Linked DNA regions of Schizosaccharomyces pombe. The gene in region 3 interacts genetically with the main gene of each other region. Each region holds a gene or a part of one and is shown on either strand. Other genes may lie near its edges.

Region 1 (5,837 bases), on a different chromosome or scaffold from region 3:
TCATATTCGGTGCGTAGAATGTGTTGACTTCGATTTGTGCATCCCCTGCTTTACATCTGGTGCCTCCCTAGGAACTCACCATCCGTCTCATCCGTATAGGATTATTGAAACCAATTCATACCCTATTTTCGACGAAAATTGGGGTGCTGATGAGGAACTCTTACTAATCGATGCTTGTGAAACACTGGGCCTTGGAAACTGGGCTGACATTGCAGACTATGTGGGAAATGCTCGGACGAAAGAAGAATGTCGGGATCATTATCTGAAAACCTATATTGAGTCGGATTGCTATCCATTAGCAAGCGTAGAGCTCCCTGGACCGGTGGATCGCATAGCATTTGCGGCACGGAAACGAGCTCGTATTGAAGCTTTTCAGCCTCCACCGATTATTCCTCAAAAGCCTCTAGCATCTACACCCCAATGCCACGAAATCCAAGGCTATATGCCGGGCCGTCTTGAATTTGATCAAGAGTACATGAACGAAGCTGAACTGCCCATAAAGGATATGAATTTTGATGACGATTTACACGAGTCAGCAAAGCATGAAATGCAACTTAAGCTGACTATGCTTAACATATATAATTCCCGTCTTACTCGTCGGGCTGTTCGTAAACAAACCATTTTCAATCACAACCTTTTAGATTATCGACGGCTACAGGCGAATGAGAAGCGCATGTCAAAAGAGGAACGAAACTTACTTAATAAAACAAAAGCATTTGCTCGACTTTTGACGGGCCCTGATTACCAAAAGTTCGTGAACAGCTATCACGAGCAAATAACCCTAAAAAAACAAATTTCTGATTTACAGGAATGGCGACAGATGGGTCTTACTACACTCGAACAAGGACATAAATATGAACGCGATAAAACGCAAAAATTCCTCTTAAGTAAAGCTTCTGCTTCATATGATAAGCAATTGAGGCATGTTAAGTCGTTTAACCAAACCACTTCCGCTCCTTTTCAAGTTCGTGACATTCAAAAGATTGTTCCTCGAAAACCAGCGACTCCCACAATGTTTTCTGCTTCCGCTGATCGGCAACTGCTTTCAGAGGATGAGCAAGCGCTTTGCTCAAAACTGCAGATTTTCCCTAAACCATTTTTGGCTCTAAAATTTGCCTTAATATCGGCTTCACTGACTTCCAAAAAACCATTTCAAAAAACCGATGCAGTTAATTTATTTAAACACTTAGACGCTAATAAAGTCGAACAGGTGTACGACTTCTTCCATAATGCTCGGTGGATTGGCGCTCCAACCTAAAAGTACTGGTTTCTTTTACCTTTTTCATATTACTCTTGTTTATTACCTTTACGTTTTGAAATGTAATTTTACTAATTACCCCTTCACCTTTAATTACATCTCCGTCTTTTTTTCCCTTTTCAATAGCCGTTACGTTCTTATGCTTAATAATTAAAAAGAGTTTTCCATCAATTTTCTACACTAGTAATTTCGGAAACTACAAGAACAAAAAACACTACATCCAACAATATCTGAGACTTTTTCTCAGCTGACAAAAAATAAATAATCTTCAAAGACTTGAGGTTGTCAGTAATAATAATAATAATAATGATAATAATAATAGTAATAGAAAATGATCTTGTACGACAAAAAAAGATGACAATAATGAGAAATGAACGAAGCTTTGGCCTTTATAACATACAAATATGTAAAAGAGGCAAGAAAAGCGGCATGTATGAGTAAAAATGAGAAAACTTTCAAAATAAACAAAGAAGTGTCAAATTCATCACCTAATGACACTTCCAGGTGCTATTGTATTAATGTCGTCGGATGTATCAATGGTTGTTGGTCGTTGATAGCTCCAATTGGCAAACCTTTGTTGAACGGTTTCAGATAAGTGAGAATCGGCAACAACACTATCCATTGGGATTTCCGATGTAAATTCAGAATCAAAATTACTAGTATCGATAGCTGATTCAACGCTTGGTTTAAAGGGTGGCTGTATCTTCTTGGCGCATAACTTTTTCCAGTCGATATCATCAAAGAAAGGGTGATTTTTTATTTCTTGCGCCCCTCCACTACCCAGCCGCTTCTCTGGAGCGCGGGTCAACAATCCACTCAATAAATCTTTTGCTTTCTCGTCAATGTTGTCTGGGAATCGCAAGGGATCTTGAAGAATTTTTCGGTACATTTCGTTTATATTTTCATCATAAAAAGGAGGAAGTCCTGTAATCATTTCGTAAAGTAGCACACCTAAAGTCCACCAGTCAACAACTTTTGTATAACCATGACCCAAAAGCAATTCAGGAGCGAGGTATTCAGGGGTGCCACAAAAAGTATTCGTTCTATCGGTTTTAGCCATGTTTAGCTTACAAAGTCCAAAATCACACAAAGCAATATGACCGGTGTAGTCTAATAATATGTTTTCCGGTTTTAAGTCTCGATAAATAACGTTGAACTCATGCAAACATTCCAAAGCAACAAGTAGTTCAGCAATGTAAAATTTGGCACGATATGTATCAAAACAGCCTTCTCTTTGTAAGTGATGAAATAACTCACCACCGTTAACAAAGGCCAGGACAAGATACAGCTTACCGGGAGATTGAAAGGAGAACTTTAATGGAACAATAAAAGGGTTATTAACTTGAGCAAGTACTGTCCTCTCAGCCAATGTGTGATCTACTTCACTGCGAGATACAATGTGGGCTTTTTTCATAGTTTTTAAAGCATAGATACGAGAAGTGTCACGCTTACGCACTTGCATGACTTTTCCAAAAGAGCCTTTGCCAACCACTTTCAATAGTTCAAATGCATCAATGGTTAAAGGGGTACTTTGATTGGGTTTGTAAAGCATTTGAACACGAAGTTCACCGCTACCCCCATGCAGGGGTACCCATTCGTCTGTAAGCTTGTTTACAATGAAAGAAGGCGACAGTTTAATCCCGCCTAGGAAAGCGTCATTCCCCATACCGTTGCGCGAGCGGCTGGATGAAGAACGAAGGTAAATATTCAGGGAGAGTTTGGAATAACGGGAAACGTCAAAAGTTGCCTGATAATCCCAGCAAGGATTTTCAAGGCTTGCAGTATTTAGAGCATCTACTAAGATTTCATTTTTGTCGAATTCAACGACGATATAAGGTAACCACCAAGCATGACTACGAGACCTTGCGTGTCCCGAGCCATTACTAAGTGGAGGGGCAAGTAAAGAATTGTCAATGGAAACCCCGTAGTTGGCAGGAACATGTCCCGACGGTAATTTTAAATTTCTAGCTTCTATAATTGTGACCTGCAATAAACCAGGCTGCACGACGGTACTTTGGGGAGACCGTTTATCCTCCGAGCTTTTCCGAGATTTTTCATCACTTGATTTACGAGAAGAAGTAGAGGATAAAGTACTGTTTTTCAGACCTCTAGTAAAACTAGAGCCGCCAGAGTTCAGGCCAATAGCGGATGCTAGATGAGTTTCTTTTAATTCTAAAAAGCGAAAAGCTGTTAGTATGAAAAAGAAAGACAGAGTGTGATAACCCGTATTATGGAATACATACTCTTTGTAAGTTTCCAGGACATTTCGGTAACGTCTGTTTGGAGTAGAAAAAAAAAATGAACTGATTTTTAAAAGCTCGCTTTCCCTCTATCTTTTCTTTTAATATAACGAAAATGATAAAGAATAAGGTAACGAGGCTGCAAAAAAGCTTCAATCTAACAAAAAACGTATTTATGGACTAATTCGAAGACAAAAACGGGAAGTGTACCAGTAAGCGAATACGAACGAACAATCAAATCAAATCCAAAAAAAAAATAAAATAAAAAGTAAGCACAAGTTGCAATTTTTTTTGAATAAACGAAAGGGGATACAGGCGTTTGGTAATGTCAGTATAGTAGTAAATTCGTCAAAGAAATCTAATCCCGATAAGTAGTAAGCAAGGGTGTTGATTTTAAAATTCAAAATAAATCGCAATCTCTTTTATTCCAAAATCCCTACTAAAGGAATGCTTCGTTGATAAAGTCGATTTCTAAGCCGATTTTGGTATTACGACTTTGAGCAAAGTCGCCTTCACCTCGCGGAAATTTTGACGAAATTGAAACCAATCGACAGCACTAAATACGTTAAAGTCAATGAAATAAAATTTGATGTCAAAAATGCTTTCGTTTGATATTCCCTTTGTTAGGTCGTATTGGCAGTCAGTAGATGTGGCCAGCTCGGATCATCCGTATTCCTAAAATACAAGTGGTACAAGACAGCAGCTTTTTGCGGCAGAACAACGTGAGTTCGATAAAATATTATAAGGAGAGCTACCGATACGGTCGGCACATTACGCAGGTTTGTCGTATAATGATCAAAAATTATAGACCCTTTTCTCGTACGATTGCACTATATATAAAAGTTCTTTGCAATGGTGTTTTACATATCAGCTATTAAATTAGTTAACTTAGTAATGTCAAAAAGATGGAATATTAATATAGAGAAATTAAAAGTGCTGGTGTACTCTTGTAAGTGGTAACTTGCTCAAGTTTGTAGTGACCTAAATTGAAACATAGGATTTATACTACACGTGTCAAGAAACAGCACTCAAATGGATCAATTTACAAAACGAAGTATATAGCAAAACAATACAAATAATTATCTTGACAATTATCTGCGGACAAACGCAAAATGCCGTTTACGCGTATGTGTAGCTTAGCAGACCAATTAACTTTATTTGTTTTAAAATAATTATAGAAGCATGTAAATACCACCGTTAGGATTGCAATATCCTCTTTACAAAACAAGTCATTTATTTATGCCTTCCATCAGATTTTTGCAACTTCCAAGTACGATGCGTTTTGTAAAATTTCAGTTCCTTGTGCAACAAGCGAAAAAAAAAGATAAAGCAATTTAACGGAAAAGCAATTTGTATACCAATGCTCTACTTTTAATACACTGGACGCTTCGTACAAGTCCTTCAAAGTGTATATAAATCCAAAGAGAACTGAAAAACAAAAAACATTTTCAAATAAAATAAAATAAAATAACATATAAAACAGAAATAAAACATGAACAATGAATTTATGAAAAGAACGAAATTTGTTGAAACTGATGACTCACTCAACTGTAGGCAAACCCTTACTTACCCATGAGAAAAGCAAATTCTTTTCGTAGTTACTTCTAGAAGGCTCCTCACTAGTAAAAGCGATGTTTCTTCAGAGTTTTGAATTTTCTCACAGAGAGCTCCCTTTGTGTGTTTTATTTAAAGGGATGAGACGAGTTTGCCAAAGCGCCTAAAAAAAGAAACCGGTTATCGAGCGCAGATATAGAATTGACAGTGTAAGTAGCAACAAAAATTTTAAAAGAGTAAAGTAGAATCAAAAACTATATCTAAGTTTAGAAAATCCCTAAAGAGAAATTTTCAGGTGAATGTTAGGGGGTAGGTTCCGGTTGAATTTTTAAAGGACTAAAGCGGCAAAAGCAGCAATGCTCAAGAGTGAAACAATCAATAATGAACTCTTGGAAAACCGGACAGGGGACCCACTCTCCATCAATTCGCGCCCTGTATTGGGAATGGATGCTGCGTATCCAATGGATCCGGCAGGTGCAGAAGTGTAAGTAGTAGATGGTTGATATTCGGTGTAACTATAAGGACTAAAAATAATATTAGTAATTTTACACAAACAAATAGTTTCCATAAAATGACAAGCATGACTTACAAAATGGTTTCTACACCATCCGACCAAGATTTGTCGGTGACAATCACAACATCGCTCACAGTAGTAGAGTAACTTGCCTGAGTTGAACTAGAATCATCATCCCTCTTAACAAATGGGGTCAAAGGAATTTTTGAGGGCAAAACACGATTAGCTAAATATACTGAGTTAGCTATTTCACATAGTCACAAAATATAAA
Region 2 (7,314 bases), 170 kb from region 3:
TATATATGAAAATCCGGACGTTGTTCGGAAAAGTTCCATGAGACTTTTTAATACGCTGCAAAAGAACGGATTGGCAACCCAGCTATTGGTACTACTCTCTCAAAAATATTCGACCTGTATATATGATGTTACTGATGAAAACTCTCATTTAAAACTTATTTCTTCTCTTCAAGACGAATGCTCTGATGTTCTTTATCTTTTAATGGAATTTCTTAATATGGTTTGCTCTCCAAAGAGCTATTATAAATTGATTCCTTCATTTGAGCAATTAATTCAAGATTTTCATATTCAACCTCAGGTTGCATTTTATCTATCGCGTTACAAAAATTTAGATCACAGTTTGACTGGTTCAAATACTGAGGATGCAATGGATATTGATTATGAAAATACTTCATCTCCAAACACTGCTAGCAACCCCGTTTGGAGTATTGACAATTCTGTCATAACTGAGTTATTACCTAAACAAATTTGGGATTATTTTTCACCTAATTTTTATTTAACATTTTGGAAGCTATCGCTGTATGATGTTTTTGTTCCCTTGGAACGTTATGAGTTTGAGCGTTCTCGGGCTTTTGATCAAATTAGGCAAACTGACGCCGCTAACACATTTTATTCACGACATCGACACGACCGACAAAAAATAATGCAATTGTCTAACAGCTTACAGAATGAACTTAAAGAACACATTAATTCACTTGAGAGTGTAAGAAAAGTTTTGCAAGGTGACTGCGTGAAATGGTTTATTCCAAATGGTGTTTTTCCTAATGGTACAAGACTTGAGCATGCTAGATTCAACTGTGCTCGGTATTTGTGGACACTCTGCATTGCTCCCCGTTTAAAAATGAGCCCACATGATGCTTTGTACTGCGCAAAGTTTGTAAAGCTTTTGCACAGTCTTGGAACACCAAACTTTTCAACTATGTCATTTTTAGAAATTTTGTTTAATTCACAATTGCCTTCATTTATTTTTTCAATGACACAACGAGAGGCTGATAATTTTGGAAGATTTTTATACGAAGTACTCTATGATATTACTAGCTGGTACAGGGACAAAATTCTTTACGAACGCGAATGTTTGGCAAATGGTGCTTTGCCTGGGTTCAGGTTATATTGGTCTGACGAACAAAATGATCCCGATCTTTCCGCTGTCCTTCCTTATAACAAATTTGTTTTGCTATTTAGTAAATGGCACAAATATCTAACATCTTATTTTGAGTCATGCTTACTATCTACTGAATATATGCATATCTACAATAGTGTCATAATCTTGGAAAAAATTTTGCCATGTTTCCCATTGATAATTGAAAGTGGCAGTGCTTTGAAACGAGCCGCTGAACGATTAAAGGACGAAGAAAAACGAGAAGATTTAAAGGTTTTGGCTTTGGGGTATTTTGCAAAGCTCTCAAAAAAGCAACCAGAATGGGTTTCTTTTAATTCATTTTCTGGTACTGTAAGGCCGAGTAATTCAGAAAAGCTTCAGAGACCGCAACAACTTTCAGTGGCAGCTACATCAGCAGTTGATTCCAAAACTGCTTCCATATCGGAAGAACAGGCAAAGATTGATAAACAGAAAGTAGCTTTGAATCCTAGTGCACCAGAGTTTGTACCTGATAGTACGCCTTCCGACGCAGTTGCTTCTGAAACTGACAATAAAAATCTTGTTGAGAACAAGGCAGTAGAGAAAAGGGTTGAAGCTAGAAGCTCAGCTAATGAAAGAAAACAAGAAGAAAGACGTAGAAAAACAACTCCTGAAGGAAACAGACGTGCTTTACGAACACGCACCCCTACGAATGAGGATATACAAAGATCAGACAGTAAATTGCGAGAGGATCAGTCTAGAGACCGAACACCTCAATCAAGAAGTTTTACAAATGAAAACAACGATAATTTAAGGAGCGTGTCTCGTCATACTCGACGCGAGCCTCAGCAAGCACAAAACCTAAATGCTAGGCGTGAACATGAATCACAGAAATCTGACAGATGGCGCCAAAATGGAAACGTAAATCGCAACCCTCGAGTGTCTAATAACAATAGCACTAATGTTTCAAGAGAGCGCTCGTCTGAAGCTAATCATAGGACAAGCAACGATAATAAACGTGATGAGGTTACAGAAGGGAAAGATAAAAACAAAAGGCAAGATATTTCTGGCGAGAGTAATTCTCGGCAGAATAATGCTATTAGTCGGGCTGGAAGAAGTAATGGATCTAATAGGGGAAATGATTCCAGAGATGCAGATGGTCGTCGTAGCACTCATTATGCTTCAAATAAACGTCCCCGATCTTCGGATAGTCAAAGCCCGAGCAACCTACGAGAGGAAGATGAAAGAGAAAATTCTCGTCGTAGGGCCAGGCAAGACGACCGAAGGGATCGGGATTCACGACAGCAAAGAGATCGTCCACGGGATAGAACATCTCGATCTGCTCGAGAAGAGAAAAGAAGAAAAATTCAATGATCCACGTTTCAAGCTTTAACTAGATGTCAGCTTTTTTTTCTTATCTAACTAAATTTGTAATTACAAGGAAATAATGAAAAATCTTTATATAAGGAGATTCATACACAGAATTATGATGGTCGTGAAAAATCGTAATCTAATTATTTTATATGGAATGAGCAAGTATGTTTTATCATAATTGACCAGTTCATTTCAAGGACCTTCAAAAATATACCTACTTAGTATTGGCGAAACGTAGAACGACTTGTATCAGTAGACTGTCTACGTGGCGGGCCAACTTTAGGATGCAAAGAGTCATTACGAATTATGAACTTGCTTTGTTGCAAACCAGGGCTACTGTGTATTGAGCTTCCAGTATCAACAAGCGGTTTTTGAAAGTTTTTTAATTCTTCGACCTCAGCTTGTGATTCTAAAAACTTGCCCTCCAACTCACGGTACCGCGTTAATAGCTCATCGTAATTTTCTTTTATTTCGGATATTTTAGACAACTGAGCGTCGTAATTTAAGTTGACAGGATTATGCAACTCAGGTGCGTTCGCTTCAGATGAAAGTCGTTTTTCCAAATCAAAAATCTTAGCCTCGTAAACAACATTAATGGCTTCCAGGTCCTTTTTCAGTAGCTCAATATTAGCTTGAAGATGCAAGTTTTCTGATTCCAGTTTCATTCGATGTTTTTCTGACTCGATCAACTCTCTTTCTTGCTCATCACTAACAGCTTCACTGTTAGAGAGAATCATACTACTGTCCATCTTCGTATTTCCAAAAGAAGTATCAGAGCTCGAAGAGACTTGCTTTTTGGAGATATTAACGCAGCTCAAATGCTGTTCATATTCTTTCAACTTAGTTTCATAGAGTTGAAGCTTCAACTCCAGTTGATTTTTTGAAAACGCAATGTCAATTTGAGAATTTCGTATTGATTCCAATTGCGAGATTAATGATTCAATTGATGATTTGAGTTCTGATTCTTCACTTTTCCAAGCTTTCTTTTCTTCTCGTAACGCTTTTATTTTGTTGTTAAAATCATTTTCCCACTTAACCCTACGATTTAGAGCTGCCTGTGATTCTGAGCGATGTTTGTCAATTTCAGAATTCAGTAACTCTATCTGAGCTTTATATCTTTTGTTGGTTAAAAGCAATTTTTGCCTTTCTGATTCCACAGCCATATCTAGTATGTGCTCACGATGAAGCTTTCCAATATTTTGCAAGTGCTGCTGACGAACAAATTTTTCAAAACGGAGCTCATTCTGAAGAAATAGCAGATCCCTTTGTAAGCGTCGAATTGTATCGTTCGTGCTGCTCAAACTTTCACTAGTCAGTTCCAAATTATTTGAGCCGCGTTCACCTTTAACCATGTGAATTGAGGAAACACCTTCACTATATGATGTACCATGCGAAATATTATCATAAGAATCTTCAGTATTTGATAATTGGGCTTTGTCAAATGTAGTCGCGGAATGAACAGAACCCGATATTGATGGATTTTGAGGCCAAGATATGGAAAAAGGCTCAGAAGCAATATCATGGCTTTCATTTGGATAGGCCAATAATCCAGTAGCTGAACTTGTCTCTTCATAAGTGGTGGGAAGCTTACCACCAAAAGGATCCATAACACTTTCGGCTATTCCAACAGCGTTAAGACTATTACATAGGGCCACTACAGCAATAGAATCAAGTCTTGTCCAACGGGATTTATCGGTAAGTTCTGTTTCTGCTGTATATTTAAGAAAATTAGAATGTGCCAAATGTCTACCGAGAAGACCATCCGACTTTGTGGAGAGGAGTTCTTGATTAAAGGAATAACGTATTTGGAAATTATGTTTAGAAGCATACAACTTAGGATCCCGAAGAAACTCTAAAAAGTTTATAGGGTACAGAGCGTACAAAATTGAGAAAAGTTGAGAGTAGTCAAGACTTTCGAGATAATCTGGTTGAGAAGAACCAACAATATCATGAACATCATTGTAAGAGCTATCTGTTTGAGAGGTGGTAGTTGAGGCATACGTTGACATAAAATCGTGAAACACCTCCCAATTACCAGACGCAGTAGACGATGGGAAGCCAGAGGTCGGGTCAATCATTGAAAATCGAAGATAGATACAGAACAATCTATATAAGGAATCGTCTAAGGAGTTACAAATGTGAGACAGTATCATAAGGATGAAAGATAATGCATACGACAGTAAGATTGGTGAAGTATCAAATTCCGCACATTTTAAAACAAGGTCATAGAAGCCAGTCTGTGGTATTTCATATAAACGAGGACCTTGCCGCCGTATTACTTCAACCATAACTGATAAAATAGGGATTCGGGTTGGAGGATTTAAAAAATGATGACAAAAACAAGAAGAAAGTTCCTTTGGTCTCTGTATCCCATAATGGACGAGAACATTAACCAAGCATTCAATAGTTTGATTCCTTTGCTCTTGAGATTCCACGTCACCTAGATTTTCGATAGCTTTAGAAACGTAAAGGTCAACCAAACGAGTGATAGTTTCCTCAGCGCACTCCCGTCTCAAGTCTCCACCCCATTCATCCTCGTCGTGAAAAATTAAAATGTAAAATAAAATACTTTTCAAGTCACTAAATACCGGTTTCAATTGGGTAGGAGAATTCAAGAAAGGAAAAAAGATCTGGTCCCACCATTCACCAACTGCTTGGCGATCCAAAATCAACAACGGTATAACCGTTTTCAACACAGCTAGCCATAGTATCCGTCGCCTTGTATTATTGAACGGCGTCTTTTCGTAGATCTCGTCCAAGATGTGTCTTATTTTTTGTGAGTTAGTGGGGTTTTGTTTGGGATAACGCTGCTGATACGACTCAACTTCCGCAATTAACTCAGTCAAATCGGGATAGCCTTCCGATTCTTCTTCATGAAGGACGTTCCATAATGCTTTGACTAGCGATTGCAGCGGCATTCGTACAAAGTTGGCAAAGTCAACGTTGATATACAACTATGCGACATTATACTGATAGCAAGTCTTGGCAGCATTGATAAACGTAACGAGGATAGCGTAGTCTGCCACATTTTTTTAATTAGTCTTTGCATTTTCAACCAAATTATACAGCGCTATCCAAAAATCCTTTAACTAGATTACATGTCAACCATACAGGTCGTAATTCGTTTTTAAGATACGATAGTACTGCAATGATATTTTTTAGTGTAATGTACATAGTATAATAAATTTATTGTAAATAGTTATAAATATCCTAAAATACTCGTTAAGAATACCAAGAAGTATTTATAATTACACTTATATAGCTAAAAATTGAATTGAGGAACGTTGTTTTAAACAAGCTTTATTTGAAGGAATCATAAGTAGTAAAGTAAGTTGTAATTTTTATCCAAATTATGTAAACATCATCTATACCATGGTACTTGATCCATCTCCAAAATTTAAAGAATGTATTAAGTATTGATTTCTAGGACTATACAGTATAGTAGGCAGTGTTCGCATTTTCAGCACAGAGGAAATACGAAAGCAAACAATGCGAAAACACATTGAGAGTTCTCTGAATAAACATGTAAAAATAAAAAGAAAACGGTTTTACTATTAAGGATTCCTAGGGAACTTTTCTTTCAAAGGAAGTTAGAGGGCAAATAATTTGAGTCGGTCTAATATTATGGTAACATATTCAAGCACTTTTAACGACATACTCTTAACTGCTATGTTATTCCACAGTGTGTTACAGTCACTTAGAGAGAAAATATTTCATTAATAAAAAAAAACTTTTATAGGGCAGGTGTAAGAAGCGTTGCAAGGCGCAAAGTAGAAAAGAATATAGTCATGGAAAAGGGAAAGCCGGTGCTTGTAAATAATTACAAACACCAATATTTTTTAATTTATATCTTAAAGTCTTCCAAGTTGGCGATGTAAAGTTTCATAACAAAAGCCATTTCATTTTCATTGCATATTTTGGGGTCATTTCAGTACCCAATGGAACTAACAGGAGAGATGCAGTGAACAACTAAGAAGTATCAAAATATCTGTAACTGTTTATAATCCTTTTTTGCTTACTTCTTTTACTTTTTGTTTTTCCCCAGTCTCCAGGAGTGCTGGGTAAGCTTTATTTACCAACCATCTGTGAATTATCCAGCCATAGCATATCTCCTTCTACTAGTTTATATAATATTTCCTTTCAAAAAATAGGCAAGCGACTGCATATCCTTGTTTAAATGTCTTATTTTGATTCTTTTTTTATTATTATTCAATCGGTGTTATCACATGAAATTTACCGATTCATTAAAACCCCTTTCGGAATAAGTTGACGAAAGGTGGAAATTGCTACCTGTTTTCTTTGTTCTGCTTTCTCACTGTTAATTTGTTGGGGTAAACAAATCAATTGCACAATGTTCTTTGTTCCGTTAAAGTTCCCATTGTTCGCCATTTAATGATTTCTTTGTTTAAAAGAAAGCGTATAGCAATGGTTAGATGGGAAACTTCGAAGTATAAATACTAAGGCATTTCCCGAATTTTCATCAGTGTGCCTATATCGACGTTTACAAAATTGCTCCAATCCTTCATTCGATTTTAAATTTAATAGGGATCAGACCTATTGAAAACAGCTGGAGACCTGATTTAGTATCGAATTACCCGTAATTGATTATAAAAATTGACGGTAATCAAGAAAGTGGGACTATTACTATATATTTAAATTTCTTTTATCTTATTTGAGTTCTGTACTTCTCTTTTATCTTTTAAAAAAATAAAAGAAACAATATTTAACACTCCATTGTGCTTGGCTGCCCGATCTCTGTCGCTTTTTCGCTTAGCAAGATCACAATTCTTTTGTTCATCACTTTATTATTTATGATAAAAGGCTACAAATTCGTAAAAGTAAGAATCAGCTTTGGATGCCCG
Region 3 (5,758 bases):
TGAATGTGAATTACTAGACGAGGATGATGGAGACGATATTCCAGCTTTAAAGGTTGGCGATGCCTTTTTCCAAGTTTCCCTTCCTGTACTCCTTGACCAGCTTGAGCAGTCAGAAGAAAGTTTGGAAAAGCAAGTCGACGTATTAAGATCTTCCATGGAAAAAGACGAAACCCGCATTCAAGAGTTGAAATCAATGCTGTACTCTAAATTTCACGATCAAATTAACCTAGACTAAGATTTGGAAAAAGCAGCAAATCTCAAAATTAGAAGCTTCATCTTATTTTTCTGAATTAGTTTCTTTAATTAAATAACATTTCATGCATTTAAATTTATTCACAATACCAAATCTGTATGCAATTAGCGCCTCCAATAAGTAAACTTCTTTGTTCACCCTAAGCCATTACAAGTATCCAACCACCACTATGGCACATGAGATTGAAATTGACTCGGAAGCTGACCTAGGTCGTACAACATTTGAGGCTGAAGACCTTTATAAGCAGAGAACTCCCATTACAAAGCCTCCGGCCCCTAGATTACAATCTCGTCGCGCATCCATGCAAGAGACGCCATGGACCATCAAAGATTCATTTAACGTGGAAACTAAAGATGTGGTTCAACGATGTATACATACTCTTATTCCCACTGTAAATTTCTTTGATGTTGTAGATGATCGTCCCGATTTATACGGTCCTTTTTGGATAACCACTACGGTTATACAGGCTCTATTCTTTTCCAACTCAATTACCGAATACGCTCGTTATGCCACAGGGCATGGTACAAGTGGCTATTCTATAAAAAAGTTGATCTCTGCAGCATCAATTATTTATGGTTACACTACCATTATCGCCGTTTTGTTATGGGGTATCCTAGTGTGGAACAAATGCAACCCTAAGTTACTCGACTGTCTGTGTTTATATGGATATGCTAACATTGTTTGGCTTCCCGTTTCTTTAGCAACTCCTCCGTTTGGATTGCTATCTACTTTGGCCTCCCATATTGTCAAATATGTACTTACAGGGATTGGTTTGTTAATTTCCATTGTGTTTTTAACTAGAAATTTATATCCTATCTGTCAGCAAGCCGGATCAAATTTGTGCAAACTTTTATTGTTCGGAATTATCGTCTTTCACTGTTTGCTCGCTTTGTCTCTTCAACTCATATTCTTCAGTTAATATCCTAATTTGTGAGGAGTTTCTTTTATCAGTCGCATTGCTTCATTCGAAAATTATACTATTCCCCTTCTTTCATTCTTTAGAAAAGTCATTCAGCATTTAAGATCCTATTGAGTCTAAGTGTTGGTATACTCTATATGATTCAGTTTATACATATATTCGCTTTACATTTGATTTTCTACTCTTTTTACTATAGCTACTAATGTTCCCTCAATTTACTAGGTTTTTTTTTCAGGTGCAAAATACGTATAAATAATCATTTCTTATGCATTGATGAATCATGCCTTAGTAAAAATAATTGTAGCCTTTTTAGTGAACCAAAGACTTTATGACATTTAGTCATATTTTTGCAATCGATCTCCCGTCATTTATATAGAAAACTTAACACATTATTACTCGTTGTTCAACAAAAAAGAGCTGAAGGTAAATTAATGGTGAAGCTTAACCTGAAAAGTACTTTTACGATTTCAAATTCAGATTTTTTTCAACAAGAGAAAAAAACTTTGTGAGATATTGAAAAAACGTTGAAATTTACGATGCATCACCACAATTTCAAGATTAAAAAGGAACACGTAAAAAGAGAAAAAGAAAAATACTGTGGATAGCAAAGTACATATGTATCGATTCACGGCATACATGAAGGGAGATAAACAAAGCACCCTTTTATCATTAGTCCTAAAAACTTTATTTCTGTCATTAATGGTTAAAATGGTGTGTGTATATAAGAATACAATCTGAAAGAAGAAGGTAAGAAAACTCTTATTCCCGGAAGTTCAATAAAAAAGGAACTATGTTCAGTCTATCCGTAGATCATAAAAACAAACCAAACTCCACATAAGGACATTAGAGCTTAGAGAAAACAAAAAGCTATTGAAACATTAGTAAACAAAAAGTTGATAAGCAAACGTACATTATTAGTAGCGGCGATGGCAACTGAGTCTTCAAAGGGATGCCAACTGGCATGTAATATCTTCTTATTGTAATCCAGGTTATCAGGATCAAGGCCAACAGAAGCAGATCCCATCGCAGCTTGAGGTTGTGACCGCCAATCATTATTTTTCACAGCATTCAACTTTGGAACGTTATTTGCAGCAGATTTTCTGGCTCTAAATGCAGCCTTGTCGGCTTGCAAAACTATCTGTCCTCTATCGCCAGGCAAAGAACTATCTGTGGGGTAAATCCCAAAGTTGTTGCTATAACTTCCTGATAAAACGTGTTTGTCGTCACCAGAAAAGGTACACTCGAATTTATCAAAAATACAGTCATTTTCATAGAGATCGCATAACTTTGATCGCAAAACATCATGCAATGGAATAGTTTTAACGGGAGCTTTTTCCATGTTGACATCCCATATCTTAAGAGTTAAATAATCTCTTGAAAGAATATAGCGGCCATTTTGTGAGAACTTAACGTCTGAAATGCTAGAGATGATTTCAGAAAAGAAACTCTTGGAATCTTGATCTTCTTGATCCTCGAAAAGCTTACATGGATTATCGCAGAGCGCAGATTGACGCAAATCTAAGAGTTTGATATTTCCCTTGCTGCTACTATACATGAGATGATTGCAGTTTATCGGGTGAAACTCGGCACTAGTAATAACTTCCGTAAGTTCTTCCATATTTTCAGGTTTAATGTCAACTATGTTGAATGAATGATCGGAGATGGACAAGTTCCATAAGTTGATACGTAAATCATCAGCGGAAATGTAAGTTTCTGCATCAGAGTTAACGCTAATCGAATTAATATGATATGCGTGTGCATTAGCGTAAACACGTCGTGGATATGCAGCGATAATCATGTCATGATGGTTGAGTCGTGGGAGTCGAAGTTGCGAAGGTGTTGTCAAAGGTCCTTGCATAGGACTGTGGAAACTGTCCGACAAATTATTTTCGGCAACGACTTTCAAATTCTTTTCATATAGTTTCCACAATTTTATAGTTTTATCATTCGTTGAGAGTAAAAAATGCGCTCGATTAGTCCTCTTGCACCAGCGAATTTTATTGATCTTTTCTTCGATTTCTAAGGACTTGAGATAATCAAACTCGGGTTCATGACTTTGAAATTCAGTAAAAAACTTATACTCACAACCCTTTTTCGAATGATTTCGCTCAAAAAGAACGACTCTGCCACCTTTATCGCCGGTTGCTAGATAATCACCTGTGTGGTCGAATTCTACTGCTGAAATGATATCGGCTAAACTTGTTAGTCATTTATTCAGTGATTAAAGTAAAAGAGAACTCTTTTATGAGAGAACTACTCAAAACCAATACCTTCAGTGATGTCTTCCACATCACCCTTGTCACCAAAGCATCTAAAGAGTTAGTCATTAATTTTTTTCACACATCGTTTACATACTGGGCAAATTTCCACTGATCCAAAGAGTCTTCTATATCATCCATCTTCTACTCGTATTATATTAAGATTTCGTTCCCGTTGGTACACTTTGCCAATTTCAATTGTATACGAAGATCTTGATCTTCAAATTTCTAAGGGTATCTCTATACCGTCTTTGGATCTTTTTTCAAAAGTTTTGATACAAAGTTTCCCAGTTTTCACTGGCTTTTTTGGAGGGCTGCTGATTTTCCTAACTTGATGGTTCGTATCAAATGCTGCTACCCTAACGAATCTACACCACTCTTCGGCGAGTCAAAAGCTCAGTAAAATTTTTATCGGTAAATCAAGCCTTAAGCGACTTTAAGTTATTAATGGATTTTTGATAAATACAACACTATTTCATTACTTCAGTGTTCATCTTACGCTTTACTACACATAGGATTTTTTGCTCAACTTTACAAAGTCCAGTGTAAAACTTGTTGGCAATTTCCCATTAATGAAACCTTAATCATTTGTACGCTAAAGAAAGGTGTTTTTGATTATAAAAAACTAGAAGTTCATTGTCATATAAAAGATCCATATTGTTTTTATAGTTTGCAAAATTGAATACAGCAGATAAGTAAATTACAAAAAAATAAGAAACATAACTGGAAAGTAGCAAATATTTTACGAATAACGTATGAATGATTAAATGAATAAACCGTCCTTGATACATTACGATGGCGCTCTACGTAAGCGTTTTACATACTGGTAAACGATACTTAAGTTCCTAAATTTTCTTTTCCTTCTATGTTGCAAAAAACATATGTAAAAGGGAGACTTATTATTTAAAACTTATTTTTCGGTTTCTAAATACTTCTATTATCCCGATTATGTGTCGATTTGGTTCGCCGCAACCAAGACAAACCCAACGTCGATAATTAATTTTATTCCATAAAAAAAAATCTCAATAATCAATGTACGGCATCACTAATTGCATATACTCCATTGATAACTTGATTTCATTACCTAATATACAGTGACACATTAAAAAACGCATCCTTTACCAGTCTTTCCGCTTTTGAGGAGGATGCGGAGGTTCAGAGTGTTTAGGACTAGAACATGTTAGTAATAGAAAGAGAAAGTCAACACTATAATTCTTCAAAAAACTTACTGAGCATCTGGGCAATTAGGGCCTAGCGGACAAAACCCAGCTAAATATTTTGGGCAAGGCCTTGGTTTTCGTACATGTTTGCCTCGACATATAGGTCCTAAAGGACAAAATCCCATATTATACCAGGCACAGACACCAACTTGTTTACTGGGATCCAAATGGAGATATAAACACTCTTCGCCATTAGAACACCAGCCGCGCTCTGCATAAAAGTGACATGGAGGCATCTTTTTTAAATTGTACTCGTGTAAAAAATCACACTGTTCACCTTTTTTACAAAGTCCACGAAGCCTTATATAATATTAGTTATCATGAAGGTAGAAACAAAAACAAATAGAAAAATACATGAAATATATATTCATATTACTCTTCTTTATATATACATACCAATGCTTGCAAACCACGCTACCCATTTTCGATCCAGAATCGCGTCCATTTCCAGAGTTTAGCAAGGCAGACCTTCCGAAATTAAAATTTTGCTTTAAATAGTTATCAAAACGAAATTGAACTGAAGAAAAATCAGCTGCTATAGCTTTATCTTTGATATAATCAGTCATTTTGTAGTAACCAGTAGATGGCGGAGGCAACGTTGTTCAGTTGACTTGAATATCACAAATACTTTATTGACTGGCATTCACATACTATAAATGATGCTTATTAAACTAGAACGAATTAAATTATTCTTATAATATTCATGAAATCGCTATTGTTTTAAGGTTTTCTTCATAGGTATGTTTGAAACCTAAGTAAAGAATGATATTATGCAGCATACGAATAAAATAACTTTTATAAAACATATTCTTTTTATCTAAAATTTACCTCGTCAGAGACATAACTAATTGCTTCTGTTGAGAATTTTACTAACATACTAATTTGCAACAGAAAACGTATTATCTTCGCTTCCACATGCAAAACATATTCACATGACCAAGTACTTTTAAAGTTTTTACGAGCTTATAAAGGTAAAGAATCATTATTTTTTAATAATACAGCATTAAAATTCCTCCTTTACTATCGCTCACGTAGGATGCCTATTCAGCTAGGTCTTCAGCGTATGCTACAGCTCTTGAAGCACCTTGGCAATCCACAGGAATCGTTT
Region 4 (5,785 bases), 1.3 Mb from region 3:
TCCTAAAAAGAAACCGGACTTCAACGAACTTCGAAAGAAACATTATTTTGCTATGGCTAAGCCCTTGAAAAGAGATGAACTTGAAAGCAGTGGTACAGAGAGTGATTTAGAGAGAGATAATAGCGATTCTGGGTCAGCTTCTGATGTAAATATGAATGAAAATGAGTGAATCACTTTATTAACTTTACGCATTATTGAAACGTGAGTTGCAAGTACAAAGGATCTTGAGTTTCATTTATTATAACGTCAAACGACTGCAAATTATTTTTTCGACCTTCAAAGTTTTATTACATGAGCTTTTGCGTCTTCTCCGTTTACGTTTTTTATTCATTTCTATTCCCCTTTTTTGCCCTTTTCACTTTGGTTGTACAGTTGTTCTGCTCGGTTTATATTAAAACCTTTCTTATGAACTTCAAATAGTTTAACGGCTTTCATTTCATTTTTATGCCCTTTTAGCAGTCTAATCCTTCATTTATGGCCGCTAACCCTACCCATTCTTTTTTTTTCATAGTATACAATTTTTTATACTTAAATACTCATTAAGCACATTTTTTCTTTATTTCGTTGATAGGTTGCTTAAATTTGTATGAAACACGAATACAGTTGTAAAATGCAATGAAGGAAATAATAATATTGCTTAGTGGAAAATACTTCAACTACAAGAAATTGTAATCCTTGATTTAATAAAGACGCATGTCGATTGTCTTATTTAAATCCTGGCATAATAATATAATCCTGAATAAAACAATAGAGCTATAAGCTTCGTTAAGACTGATTAAAGGCATACATAGGCATGACAGATATGAATATTGTTAGAAAGGTGACCGACTAGTCAGTTTATACACCTCTCCGACCAGATCGTTTAAAGAATGTCTTTACAATAAAGACTTGAAGAGCAGAAAGAGCGACAACCATTATAGATTCAGCAAGACTAAACCAAAAGATGCGGGCTTGAGTAGACTTTACAGTAGAATAATTACGATGCTCCCGAGTTTTGAAGTAATTTTGTACACGGTCAATTTCAGATAATGCGGTTGAGATCTCTAAAACAGTACTTTGCATGCTGTCCTTTTTGTAGTCTTTGGCTTCATCACGGGTTAATGCAGGAAGAGAAAGTTCATTTTCCATAGTGATTTCCATAGTCACAATTTTATCAGTAAACGTAGACATATGATTATCAAAACAGAATTCATATTCACCCTTTTCTTCGAGGGTGAAAAATACATCAGCCTGTCTTCTCTTTTTGCCAAGTGCAACGGTCTTCTGAGATGGTGCCTTGATCATATAATCGACATCAAAAGAACCGCCAGACTGAACAGCGTACGTGAAATGTGTTTTTTCGCCAGTGTGAAAAGAATCTAAGTAGTAACACTGCTTCTCTTGGTTTTCTAACTTGAATGTTAACTCAATAGCCGAAGCTAAGCTGGCGAGCAAAAATAGTGTTATGCCGCTTAGAGTAATTACGCGCATTTTCTATAAAGTAAGGTTAATCTTCAAAAATTTAATATAACTTTTAATTCCAATGTATCAAAACAAATTCACTTACGATATGTGAGTAGTTTTATGCTCAGCTGCAGAGTAGGCTGTTGCTACGTTGAGTGTTGACAGTGTGGAATATGCTGTATCGCAAAAGGCAAGTATCGATAGCGTTCTGGGAATATAAATTAGAGTATTAGTCTTAATAAATACTCTTAAAACAATTTTACAAATTTTTCTTCTTTTAATCATTTACAAAATTGTTTATGAAAATGAGTATAAACCCAGAATCATCAGCATACTAATAACAAATAGTAAACCTTCGAAAAATAAAAGCAGAAGTTTTTCTTCTTAATTATCAAAATAATTTGGTGGTTTTAAATGATCTAGTCCCAAACATAGTTTAGAAAGGAAATCGTTCAAAACTAACTTTCTTTACTATGATATCATATAATAAATATTCAAGTAATATTGGTATTATTATACTTCTTCATGATATTATACAAAGGTCAAACAGGTTTTCATGCGTGAATGTCCCATGCTCTTACTTGTTCTTAATGTATTGTTGTTATTTTTTTTTATAATTTACATTGATTTTAATGCGACTATGGTTGCAATTGACTAATGTATCTAATGCATTCGTAAATCAGAGATAAATACAAGTTTAAATAAACGATCTGTAAAATATATTCTAGTCAATAAAAAGAATTTAGAATAGTTTACAAAAAATCATTTTCTTGGAAGTTAACAGCAACATTTTGTTCGCTATTCGTTATTAAAAAATCAAAACAATCGTAATATGATTAATCAAAGGTTAGGAAGAAATCAGCTTAAAAAGCAACTATGCCTTTCGTTTTTTATTCATTTACATTGAGTTAAAGACACTGTTAGAGATACTTACATCCTTTGCATTGGTTGATACCCTTTATTTACATTGTTTTACCCAGATCATCTACCGCAAAATAATGAATCCTTATGTTTTATTTGGACGCGCTGTGGCTCACAAAACCTGTGCCATTGATTAAGTAGTAGGCTTCTCTATCTCGCCAAAACAGGTATGTCATGAAGAATGAGAGATTCCAAAGATGCCGTATGTTATTCTTTTTCGTTTCTTTTTCTTACTAACTATTTTTTAGCTGGATGATAAATCAGGGTCATTCACTAGTCTTCTTCCCCCGTTTGGAAAACAAAGGTTTGACTTTACCTCGTCTTTTAATTCACATTCCTATATTAATATTTTTACAATCTAGAGGTACTAGCCCAAATGATGCTATTCCTATTAAGAGCCCGCTAGAAAGGCTAGCGAATAGTGTAACATCCCCGGAAAAGCCAACGGTTCGAACTGCTATACAGAAGGATTCACCAAGGCGGAAGCAGATAGATGATGATCAAACACCTCCTAAGCACTTAAAACGCTCTTTTCAAAATGTTACAGTGGTTTCTCGTAAGTCGCAACTTTTTTGCTCTGATCCATGTGTAAAGCATGAGGAAATGCAAAATGTTTAGAACAATTCCTCTTCTTCAGTATCAATAATTGATTTTTTAAAATAAAAACTAACTTATTTTTGCCTCTTTTTGGCTACTTTGTTTAGCACGAAAAAAGAAAACAATTGATGTGGTCGAGCTGCCTTTCACAAAAGGGGGTTATGGAGGTTTTTACGATCCTAGGCCTGGGTGTTTAAAATTTACTACCCATGAAATAAATGTTTCTTACACAGATACTAGCATTCCAGTCATTCACATCCCTGTCCAATTGTTGAAGCGGTGTTGCTGGCTTCAAGGATGGAGAGACAATTTGGTGGAATCTCCAGTACATGCTATTCATTTAACCTTAAAAAATAGAGATATGAAAAGAATTACGATAGGTGATTCTGCCAGTTTATTATTTTTATACAACCCATTACATGTAGAATCCGCTAGAGCTGGCCTTGATCTTTTGGACCAATCTGACTTTTCTTTAACATCTCCTAGTTCGGCTAAAGAATTTAAACAATTATTGACTTTAAAACAATCCACGATCATCCCTCGCACTCCCCAGAAAACTGTAAGGTCAATTGTTAAACAGACCTCGTCTCCACATTCCTCAAAAATGCCTAAACATTCCCTTCCATCCTCGCCAACTCCATTTAATTCCAATTCTGGTGACTCTCTTCTTTCCAGGATTAAAAATTCGAACCAGTCATCGTCAGAGCGTCCAACGGCAAATAACGGAGCTCAAGAGCAAAATCAGTCATCAAGTTCTGCTGGAAACACTTCCAATGACTTTTCAACTTTATGTTCTCAAGGTTCTGATAAAACACTTCTGTCTGATGCATCTTGTACCACTATTCTCGTATATCCGTTTTCTGGAACAAATTCAATTGCCATTACTAATACCGACCTTACAAGACTCAATGAGGGAGAATTTTTAAACGATACTATTGTTGATTTTTATTTGAGGTAAGTTTTTTTTTTTTTTTTTTTTTTTTTTTTTTGGAATCTTCGCTTCTTTTAACCTCAAAAATTTAGATATTTATACTGTAAATTACAAACACAAAATCCTTCTTTGGCCAATGACACTCATATTTTTAACACATTTTTCTATAATCGTCTTACTTCAAAAGATAAAGATGGGTATGTAACAGGCTTTACTTCTATCAATTATTTGATCACTAATGGGTAATATAGCAAGCGGCTAGGTCATAGAGGAGTTCGAAAGTGGACTCAAAAAGTTGACCTTTTCCATAAAAAATACATTATTGTTCCTATCAATGAAACATTTCATTGGTATCTAGCTATTATCTGCAACATTGATCGATTAATGCCTGTGGACACAAAACTGGAAGAGCAGGATGAAATAGTTATGTCGTCTGTGGAACAACCGTCTGCTTCAAAGACTAGACAAGCAGAATTAACGAGCAATAGGTATGTTAAAGGTTTACAATTTTATTGATTAAAAGGAAAAATATATCATAAATCATTTGATTCAGTTTACTAAGTTAATTATAGTCCAGCAATTTTGATTTTTGATTCTTTAGCAAATCTTCATAAAGGAGCATTAAATTACTTACGTGAATATTTACTGGAAGAAGCTTTCGAAAGGAAAAATGTACATCTTAAGTCCACTGATATACGGGGGTTTCATGCAAAAGTCCCGCAACAAAGCAATTTTTCTGATTGTGGTATATATGCGTTACATTTCGTCGAACTATTTCTTGAAACTCCTGAGCAAGTGATAGCCAATACTTTAGATAAATCTCTTAGACGGACGGATGCTAAAAACTTCGACCAACAGTGGAACCTTCAAAAGATTAACACGATGAGATGCGATTTGAAGGGTTTAATTCGCCGTCTGTCAACTGAGTGGTCGTCTAACAATGAACGACAATCGCTTAGCAGCGGAAGCAACGATGAAGAAGATAAAGAAAATGATGATGATTTGGCAATATTGCCAATCACAAATTAGAATTTACAAGGGAATTAGGGAAATCATAATTTCATATTAAAACTTAACGAAAGCATTATTATCAAAAATTTTAGCGTAGAAAAATCAACAAAATTCATGTCTATATCGTGTGTATGCTAGCATGTATAACTTCGCTAGCGACGTTTAGTATACAGGTGCTTCCGAAATAAGGCATGATGTTCTTTACTGTCCTTTTTCAGCTGTTTATTAGCACTCTTGTTATATTCCACGTATGCCATATTGTCGGCACCAGCCAATGTACTTAAAGAACCACTAGAACGTTTAGCTTTCGCCGGTGCTCTAGAGAGACTTCTGGATCCAAAGCTAGTATCCTCACCGTCATCCAAATCAGCTGCTTCTTCATTTTGTAGCAATACTTCCTGCAAAAGCTCAAGTCTCTCCGCTTTGGAGGCGTAAGCCAAATTTGGCAAGTTCTCCATACCCTTTAAATTAGTGATGACTTTAAAAGCATAGCCTTGGTCAATTAAAAATGCTTGCCGTTTACTGGAATAATACATTTCCTGAGTGTCTTTAGATACCAAGCTATAGAAAAATGCGTTAAAGCCTTCATCATTTCGTCGCTTGGCACGAAGAATACGCCCCAAACGTTGAGCTTCTTGACGCCTAGAACCATAATGAGAAGAAATCTGAATCAAACAGGTTGCTTCAGGAAGATCAATAGACGTATCACCAACTTTAGAAAGGAAAATGGTATTTACAAGTTCATTATACTGGAAATTTTCCAAAATCCTCATTCTTTCCTGCTGTGGAGTTCCACCATAAATAAAATATTTGCCTAATTTTATTGCATAAGCACGCAAAGCATAGACATTGTCTGAAAAAACGATAATTTTATCACCACGT

What was found.
Region 1: of pab1 (region 3) and gad8, changing one suppresses a phenotype caused by changing the other (phenotypic suppression), as found in Schizosaccharomyces pombe (one study listed by BioGRID).
Region 2: of pab1 (region 3) and tsc1, changing one suppresses a phenotype caused by changing the other (phenotypic suppression), as found in Schizosaccharomyces pombe (one study listed by BioGRID).
Region 4: of pab1 (region 3) and ulp2, a mutation in one rescues a mutant of the other (synthetic rescue), as found in Schizosaccharomyces pombe (one study listed by BioGRID).

Annotation. Positions count from the first base shown.
Region 1 is NC_003421.2:910,803-916,639, reverse strand, and holds gad8 (serine/threonine protein kinase (AGC family) Gad8), read right to left. Parts: upstream 4,141-5,837; 5' UTR 3,524-4,140; coding exon 3,502-3,523; intron 3,431-3,501; coding exon 1,743-3,430; 3' UTR 1,402-1,742; downstream 1-1,401. Other genes in the region: SAGA complex subunit Ada2, read left to right, coding at 1-1,258; SPOM_SPCC24B10.06 (uncharacterized protein), read right to left, coding at 5,381-5,576, 5,642-5,792. UniProt on the Schizosaccharomyces pombe protein: Involved in a signaling module for sexual development and cell growth under stressed conditions. Required for G1 arrest under nitrogen starvation and for growth at high temperature and osmolarity.
Region 2 is NC_003424.3:672,869-680,182, forward strand, and holds tsc1 (Rheb GAP, hamartin Tsc1), read right to left. Parts: upstream 5,392-7,314; 5' UTR 5,371-5,391; coding exon 2,671-5,370; 3' UTR 2,453-2,670; downstream 1-2,452. Other genes in the region: THO complex subunit Tho2, read left to right, coding at 1-2,452; G-protein-signaling regulator Rgs1, read left to right, coding at 7,308-7,314. UniProt on the Schizosaccharomyces pombe protein: Together with tsc2, required for uptake of various amino acids from the environment and for proper conjugation. Involved in induction of gene expression of permeases and genes required for meiosis upon nitrogen starvation.
Region 3 is NC_003424.3:506,121-511,878, forward strand, and holds pab1 (serine/threonine protein phosphatase PP2A regulatory subunit B-55 Pab1), read right to left. Parts: upstream 3,774-5,758; 5' UTR 3,572-3,773; coding exon 3,528-3,571; intron 3,484-3,527; coding exon 3,443-3,483; intron 3,366-3,442; coding exon 2,083-3,365; intron 2,061-2,082; exon of another isoform or gene 2,040-2,060; coding exon 2,016-2,039; 3' UTR 1,402-2,015; downstream 1-1,401. Other genes in the region: pfd4 (prefoldin subunit 4), read left to right, coding at 1-235; yip5 (Rab GTPase-binding protein), read left to right, coding at 423-1,172; cleavage and polyadenylation specificity factor complex subunit Yth1, read right to left, coding at 4,549-4,600, 4,660-4,950, 5,047-5,216; fol3 (folylpolyglutamate synthase), read left to right, coding at 5,687-5,758. UniProt on the Schizosaccharomyces pombe protein: Phosphatase 2A affects a variety of biological processes in the cell such as transcription, cell cycle progression and cellular morphogenesis, and provides an initial identification of critical substrates for this phosphatase.
Region 4 is NC_003424.3:1,763,472-1,769,256, reverse strand, and holds ulp2 (SUMO deconjugating cysteine peptidase Ulp2), read left to right. Parts: upstream 1-2,523; 5' UTR 2,524-2,545; coding exon 2,546-2,566; exon of another isoform or gene 2,567-2,612; coding exon 2,613-2,668; exon of another isoform or gene 2,669-2,726; coding exon 2,727-2,920; exon of another isoform or gene 2,921-3,001; intron 3,002-3,068; coding exon 3,069-3,915; intron 3,916-3,984; coding exon 3,985-4,089; intron 4,090-4,090; exon of another isoform or gene 4,091-4,143; coding exon 4,144-4,380; intron 4,381-4,464; coding exon 4,465-4,921; 3' UTR 4,922-5,024; downstream 5,025-5,785. Other genes in the region: protein phosphatase regulatory subunit Glc8, read left to right, coding at 1-169; erp2 (COPII-coated vesicle-associated protein Erp2/3/4), read right to left, coding at 838-1,470; transcription factor TFIIH complex ERCC-3 subunit Ptr8, read right to left, coding at 5,056-5,785.